Linked DNA regions of Mus musculus: region 2 is reported to be linked to region 1. Evidence: microRNA targets listed by miRTarBase, many of them from high-throughput screens and not tested one by one. Region 1 holds a microRNA gene; the other region holds the end of a gene's coding sequence. Distances are from middle to middle.

Evidence for each region. Region 1 holds the annotated microRNA mmu-miR-1952 (UCUCCACCCUCCUUCUG, at 1,612-1,628, shown strand). A microRNA usually pairs through its seed, bases 2 to 8, with sites in the 3' UTR of a target mRNA and lowers its output. Matches are read on the target gene's strand: a 7mer-m8 pairs with bases 2 to 8, a 7mer-A1 pairs with bases 2 to 7 and ends in A, and an 8mer does both.
Region 2: miRTarBase lists Fign as a target of mmu-miR-1952. Seed matches in the 3' UTR shown: 7mer-m8 at 2,176-2,182, 7mer-m8 at 2,170-2,176, 7mer-m8 at 2,164-2,170, 7mer-m8 at 2,158-2,164, 7mer-m8 at 2,152-2,158 and 7mer-m8 at 2,137-2,143.

What each region holds. Positions count from the first base shown.
Region 1 is chr2:138,818,332-138,822,483 of GRCm38, forward strand. It overlaps Mir1952 (microRNA 1952), which reads left to right and starts at 1,598; the gene lies at 1,598-1,676.
Region 2 is chr2:63,975,346-63,979,365 of GRCm38, forward strand. Fign (fidgetin) reads right to left here. Exons shown (of 4, transcript NM_001267846.1): 4 at 1-4,020. The coding sequence ends at 3,300. Among named protein-coding and RNA genes, the nearest start is that of Fign, 120 kb to the right of the region's middle.

The sequences.
Region 1 (4,152 bases):
TCCCACAACTCAAGAGGCGAGCCCTCATGGATTAAACCAAGACTAGACTGGTAGAGAACATGTCTTTGTTCTATGTGATATATACATATTCCCACTTTTTAAAAATCATTACTTGTATCAGAAACCAACTCCTAATGTTAGTGGCTTCAACTAAGAAATATAATTTTTATTCACCGTAGTGTATTGTGGCTTCCTAAGTACCAGGCATTTGTTCAAAGACTTATCCTCCTTCCATCTGTGAGTCGCTCTTTCTTTTGTCAGCATGTTCTCTACTTGATAAAGCTGGTAGGGTTTCCAATAATGGTCCTAGAAGTGAAGACCTTGGATTCACAAACATTGCACTAAACAGATCTAATATATTTATACAACAGAGACTAGACAGTAAAGGTGACCTACGTGTTCAAGTTTGAGTGCAGAAGAGACCCTAACTACACAAATACTAACAGCCTGTGAAGAAGCAGAGCTAGGAAGTTGTCAGGAGTAGAAGCATATGTGTAGAGAAGATTATTTTCCCATATCCCATATCACCATACCAACTATGCAAAGCTCTCTTAAGAGTAAATTGATAGGGTCATAGTAACTAATACAGTAGCCCTTGAATAAAACATAGTTGCTCTAGACTGACAAGGTACAAGGGCATTTTCGTTGACCCAAAGGCAATCAAGAAATAATGTATGACTCTCTTGGCCTTTTTGCTGTCACTCTGTCGTCTTCTTCATGCTCCTCCTCTCTCCCCATTCCCCTCCCCCTCTCTCCAGGTGCTCATGGCTGGTCCTCTACTCTCTCTCTCCCTTTCTCTGTCTTTACTACCCTCTCAACTCCTTCCCATGCCCTGAATAAACTCTACTTTATACTAAAAAAAAAGGAAAGAAAGAAAGAATGTGTGTTAATAAACATGTTCTAAATTCTCACCTGGTAGTAGATAAGTCATAGGAATAAAGAAATTATGTGTGGGAAGGGGTGTAGGGGCTAGTAAGGTTTAAAACTGAAGCTGAATGCCTCTCTCAGCCCCTCAGAATACTCATAGACTCTAAAGAGGTAAAGGTTCTCATCCTGACTTGAACTTCTTTCTGCTTTCTCTTTTCTACTTGTTTTCCACAGTAAAGAGGCAACCCACATTGATACTGTTTCATCTGAAACACTAGGTATCTACAAAGGTCTGAGGTTTTTCTAGGCTATCTACTCGATCTGAAGTTGATGCTGGCTCACAACAGGGGCGTCACCTGAAAGTTAAATTGATGTTAGCCTCAGGAGACTATGAGGTTTTTGCCTCTAGTAGGGGGTGTTTATGGAGATGGTTGCTTCATCCACAGTGCCTGACCCTTTGGTCTCAACTGGTACAAACGTGAAGGCAAATCTCCTCTAGAGCAGATGTTTGAGCTGGAGTTGGCTGGAAAGTTGGGCAGCATTTTAACTCTGCACACTACCCACTTCCTCACTTCTTTACAGGCCCATATCCCATGCCCCAGAGCATCCTCTCATCAAAGTTCTTCTAGACCAGAAGTCCATTTTCAGGAGATGTGAATACAAACAGGATGAAACACAAAGTCTAAATAAATGTTGGTATTGAGACAAGGCAAATATTGCAGCCACCTATCCCTCTCTTATTGATCTCCACCCTCCTTCTGTGCAGGCTTATTTCCTGCTCCAAGGTGTGGATGACAAAAGAGATGGAAGTATGGGGGGGCGGGAGGGCACACAGAGGCTTTCATAAACCCTCTCTGCTTTTCTGCTGCTTCTCCTGTTCTTGCATATCCCCCACTTCTGCCTTCTGTTAATGCTAATTCAAGGTCTAAAAATAGATTTTTCTTCTTTGCAAGGCAGCATATAACATACTTCATCCTTTTCTTCTGTTCAAAGTTTGTGGTTTTCTCTGTCTGACTGCAATCTCCTTATGTTGTAAGAAAAAGTCTGAAAGGACAGTGCATGTGAGTGTTCCTGGGCATGCACACATGCATGTGTTGTGCATGTAGGTAAATTAAGTATATGCATATCTTGACACAATGCAAAAAGATTTAGGAACTTATTTGCACTTGGATTGCAGAGCACTGTGAAAGAGCTTGGAATATGATTAGGCTTCCTATTTTCCTCCAACTTCGGTCACCAGATCACATCATCTTCTAAAATTATCCAGGTATCTCAGATGCCAAAGAGTTTCCTGACTATAATTTTAAATTCATAAGCACCATTTCTCAAAACTACGTTTCCCGAAGGTTCTAGAGACCTGAGACTATAGCCACACACGGAGTGAGCATCTTCCACTCCAGATTGTTGTAGGTGTAAAATCCACAGGCAGATTGTCCCCCAGGAAAGGCTGCCAGCCAAGCCATTTCACTGGGGATGGAACTTGGGAGGATGGTGAGTCATGTAACTGAGAAGAAAGTGGCTGATGGCTAGAACATAATGAGCCAAACACCCTCTTAGGATGAGGATGGAAGACACACGTTTGTGGGCCACTTTCAGCCTCTCATAGCCTGCTGACTTTTGTTAAAAGTGTATCTCTAGCCCCACATTGTTAGAATTGTCACCAAGATACATTGCATGTTATATAAGAGCAGTGTCCCTGAAAAGTGCTTATGTGTTGCTCTTCCCCATCATTCCTTGGATCTCTCTGTCCTACAGGGAGTCCAGGAAATGAAGTCCTCAGCTGGGAGGCAGTCATTTGGAACTCTGTAGCTCCCATCCCAGGGCAGGGAATGCAGATGACCCTGGCCTTTCCTTGTTTGACTACACAATGTGATTTTTTTTCTCAAACACTTAAGAGAAAAGCATCGAGGAAAGCAAACCAGGTCCAGCAACTTCTTGGCTGCAGAGTTGTCCTACTTTCTTTCTTAGAAGTCACTGCGGCTCTTGCTCTCTTCCCAGTCACAATAGATGATAATAAGAGCCTGATTCCCTGTGTCTGCTCTCACTGAAGCCATGGGAGAAAGTAGCCTCTCTCTTCTCTAGGATCTTGGAGCACAAAACACCTTCCCCTTCATGCCTGATCAGGTTCTAAAGATCCACCTTCGGCTTTTCCTTCCCCATTAGCATACCCTCTCCACTTTGGCTTAAGAGCTTTCTGTAGTGGAATGCACCTTTAATTCCAGCACTCAGGAAGCAGAGGCAGGAGGATCTCTCTGAGTATGAGTCAAGCTGGTCTATCAGAGAGAGTTCCCAGATAGCAAGTGCTACATAGAGAGACACTGTCACAAAGCAAAAAAGAAAGCTTATGTGATCTCTAAATTCAAGGAATTCCCAGCAAACTCTGAACCCCTCCAGCATGAAGTATATTTTATAGCTGTGCTTATATCTTTCTCCCTAGCTGAGTACCAGGACTAGGTAGCAGATCAATGACAAATTATTATTAAATTATTTCATACAGCAAGGTATCTTCTTCAGTAGGAATGATAAAACACATTTCAAAGCTCTGAAATCATATACATACAAGAAATATTATACATATATATGTAGTGTATTATTTTTGTTGGATATTTCATTTATTTACATTTCAAATGTTATCCCCTTTCCTGGTTTTCCCTCTGCAAATCCCCTATCCCATCCCCCATCCCTGTATTGTTTTACATACACATTCTTAACTTAAACTGATTTAAGTTTCTCTCACTCAGGAGCTATCTCAGATCCTAAAATAGAAAAAACATACACATTCCAGTTAATCTTGAAATGCCTTGGCTAACTCAATGACTCACATTCCTCAACCTTTCCCTGCTACCCTAGGCCCAATTGAGGAAATAACCAATGGCCACTTACCCCAAAACTCACATGGCTGCATGGCCTTTTCTCCTGCTACTACTGTGCCCCCTCCTTCATTTTCAGTTCCCTGATTCTCACTGTGTCCTACCTGTAAAACTCTGTGTCCTACCCTGTGCTCAACCATTGGGACTGAGCCATTGGGACTATCTATTTATTGATAGATCAAAAACCAGCTGGGGGCAAGGACATTCAGCATCAGTAAATAAAAATTCCCAATTAAATCAAAGCATCAGAACCACTCTTCTACATACAGATACAGATATGGACGGATATGGATACAGATATAGTTACAGATACAGACATAGACACAGATACTGTAAGACTCTAGTGAGCCTTAGCTTAGCAGGGGACCCGCTGAGTGAACCACATGGGCCTGGGAATCAATGCAAAAAGCAAGAG
Region 2 (4,020 bases), 75 Mb from region 1:
TCTATTGATCCTTTGCCTGAAGTATTTCCCCCCTCCTCCTTTTCATCCCTGTTGGAAATGTTATTACAGTTGTGAGGAAGGAATTGAGGGCTATAAACGAGGCTGGCTGGATCTCCTCCTGCAACTGGAAAGGACTGACTGGTTCACTACCTTACACTCATTAGGAGCCTCCTCCAAATCCCAAGCAATCAAAGAGAGGCCAACAATTACCTAGTTTTGTTCTAGGGCTGAATATCCATGCTCACTTCTGGAGATCTGGAACTTGTTCTCCCCCAAGCTCTCAAATGGATGGGCAGAAAAGACGTCCTGATTATGATAGTCCATTGGAGTTTTCACACTGCTGACACATGGAGTTAAAAACCTTGCTAGAGCGTGAGTGTTTCGTTTCTTCAACTTGCCTGCTTTGCTATCAGATAATTCTAGACCTGGGTGGGCTAAGTGGAAATTACATGTAATTTCAAGCTTCTGCTCAATCCATGGATCTCAGACCATTCATATCTCAAACTAATCTTTAAGTCATTCATATCTCAAACTAATTTAAAGCCATTTAAAGCTATCAGCCAACATGTATGACTTCAGTTTATTATCAGTACTGTGAGAACAAAGCACAACTGTCATCTCATATATTTGGCATTAAGTCCCGAAAACCACACACCAAACAATGTGGGTTAATTCTGGGTTCTCGAAGGTTGACTAAAGAGGATTGGGTTTGTCAAAACGTGCCAGATGTTTTTACTTTTCACTTTATTAGTGAGCACAGCATATTGGTGGAAATGAGGTGTGAGCTCTAATAGAGAAGATGGGTCAGTACTGCACAGAGAATAAACTTGTGAATGAGATCAATATGGGCTCACAAGTTAGTGAATATTAGAATCTCCTTATCATGGGCAGTGCATAGGGTAGATCCGGAATATGACTAAAGCATTTATTCACTTGTGAAAAACAGAGGACATATCTAAGTAGTATTATCATTTGTGTCTCCTTAGTGAAAGGCACTGCTTTTAAAATATGGGATCTATTTTAGAACAGTGTAAGTTGATAGATGTTCACAGTCCATTAAATTCTAGTTCATTTGCTCAGTTTTAGCAACGGGAAAAAAAAAAGAGAGAAAGATTACTAATCAAATATCATAAAATGTTTGAAATACCACGAGTTCATTTTCTTATTCAGTTTCTCTGTGTTAAGTGTTTCAGAGAATTAACTTGTAGATGAGCTCAGGAAAAAAAAAAAGAAGGAAAAAAAAATAACAGAAAGACCTTTCATGGGGCTGCCATTGCATTTATTTAAAATTACCTTAAAAATGTACATCACTTATTGAATACACAAAATGCCAGTGCTTCGCAACAATTACTGCATCTCTAAATTTAAACAAAATAAAAAAAAAAAGAAAGAAAAAAAGAAAAAGAAAAGTAAAGAAAAGAAAAGGAGGGAAAAACAGGAAAATACAGGAAAATACATTCAAAATGCTAGGCTGCTCTGATTCTGCACAGGCAGTGGCTGTGGAAAGCTCTGTCCTGCACTGTGACAGTGAAAGAGAGACATTGGTGAACTTCAGCCAGCTGTCAATGAAAACTTGCACATACTGCATTACAGAAGACAAAGAACAACCTGGTGGAAGCAGGAGCAGAGGGGCAGGGTGAGAAAGGACTGCCACATTGCTGTGTGGTAGTCTTCAGAGGTGAAAGAATGCATAAAGACTGGTGTTACAGGGGAAGCAGACAAAGGAGGGAAGAAAACACAACAGGACGCAAAAGTCCCCACATTTGGCAAGCTCTGTTGTGGTATACATGTCCACGTCTAATTTCTCACTTGACTTTCCAAAAGAAACATAACGAAACTGAGGTAGAAATGAACGTAGGAGTTCTACAGCCTGGGGTGGGGGTGGGCTTGAGGATGAGAAGCGAAAGTGCACTCTGAAGATCGAAGTCAAGATGCGGCATGGGGGAGGGGCACGTGTGGGGGGTGCTCTGCAGATACCTGTGATTGGTTGCTTTTTTTTTTTTTTTTTTTTTTTTAAGTTTGCATGTTTGATTTGGTTCTATCCTCTGCTTTTTGTGAAATAGCTCTGTAAGCCTAGCAACTCTGAGTGGAATAGACTCTTCCCCTAGAGGTTTAGGAGAGAGCTTCCAAAACATCCTCCACCACCACCACCTCCACCTCCACCTCCACCTCCACCTCCACCATGGCAGTAGAAGGCAGATACAGTTTGTAGGTTCTGTCACTTTCAGGGTCTTAAACAGGTCTGCAGCTGACTGCTCTAAACACCAACACAAACTGAAGACACAGCTTTTCAATTAACCAGTGTAACTTCTATGAACATTTCCACTTAATCATCATGGAGAGCAATGCATTAAGAACTCTTCAGTAATTGTTCTGCTCTGGTTAATAATTCCCCATAATTAGTAAGAGAACTTTAAAAAAAAAATCCTTCCACTTCTACTTTTAAACTGTAAATATTCAGTTGTATCACACTTCAGTATTTTTCTTTTCTTTTCTGGATACATTCAAAATAATTTTCCTTGCTATTCTCCAATTGTTGAGGTAAACATACATTTTAATATAAAGTAACATTGAAGCCTACCCTATTACTCTCAGCAGTACATAGTGCTTTTAACACATTCCTTTGAGGTACTGTACAAATCACAATCACTTTCCTGAGTTTTTGCAGACAAGAACATTAAAAGAAATGAACTGCAGAAATTAAGGTCCAGATCACCGTTACCCTGTTTTACCTGCTCTTAGCTAACACTTCAGAACAGACAGGGTTGAGGAATACGGTTGCTCTTAAAATGGCCAAAAAAATCTGGTTTTCTGTTGTAACACAACCGTTCATCTCTTTAGTCCAATAGTGTTTGAAGTTAAAGCTCTTTATATTAGCACATGCCACCAATGTAATTGTGAGGCAAACAAACAAACAAACAAAATAAAGCACCACTCCAGGCACTTGACAGCAACTAAATCTCGAGAACAGCAGAATGGAATCAACACACGAGGTTCATGTCCTTCTGAAATCAACACACTTGCACCTTGCTTCTCGGTGAGTGTCGTCTAGCTTGAACCGATCCGAGCATCCACATGTATATGCTTTCTGTCAGCTGGGGCTTCCAAATCAGAGGCTCTCATCGGATGCCTGCTTCTTCCAAAGCTACCCTGACTCTAAAGATGCAACATAATCGTCGTCTTCCCCAGTACCCTTAGCAATTGAAACACTACTGGAAAGGGGCTCTATTCCCTATGTAGCAGGTTTTATGTGTGTGCCAACATTCATTACATTTTTTTTTCTTTTTTTAAAGATGTTATCACTGACTGCAACCAAACATTTTGTTCCATTCAACATACATATCAAGCTCTTTTTGAGATATGCTAGGCTGAATCTTGCAGAAAGCATTTTCAAAGTCTTGATATGTAACGGGCCTTAACTGGCTGGGCATAATGGCTGAAAGGTCTGTAGCTGGCATAGCATGGAGAGGTCCCACTGCTGCTTCCTGACACAAATGAGCCACGTCTAGTCCAGAAAAGCCTTCTGTGCGCTGGACAAGCAGTGCAAACTCCTTGTCATTGAGACAGTAATTGTGCTGTGTGAGCAGCTGTACTATTATCTGGTGCCTCGCTGTGCTGTCAGGAAGTGGGATTAAAAGTCTTTTCATGAAGTACCTCCGAAGAGATTCATCTATTTCTTCTGGTTTACTGGTGGCACAAATGACTACGATTTGGTCCTCAGCCGAAGTCAGTACAGTGTCCAGCTGCATCAGAAATTCGGTTCTCATCCGACTGACTGGACTGTGTTCCTCGCTCACTTGAGAGGAGAGAAGCATGTCAATGTCACTAACAAAAATCACCGAGGGCTGGCGACACCTGGCCACAAGAAAAGAGGCGTGGATGATTTTCTCCGCTTCTCCTATCCACTTTGCAACGAGTCCGGAACCGGCAATTTTGAAAAACGTGGCCCCTAGCTGACTAGCTATGCATCTGCCCAAAAGTGTTTTGCCTGTACCCCGAGGTCCGAAGAGAAGGATGCTT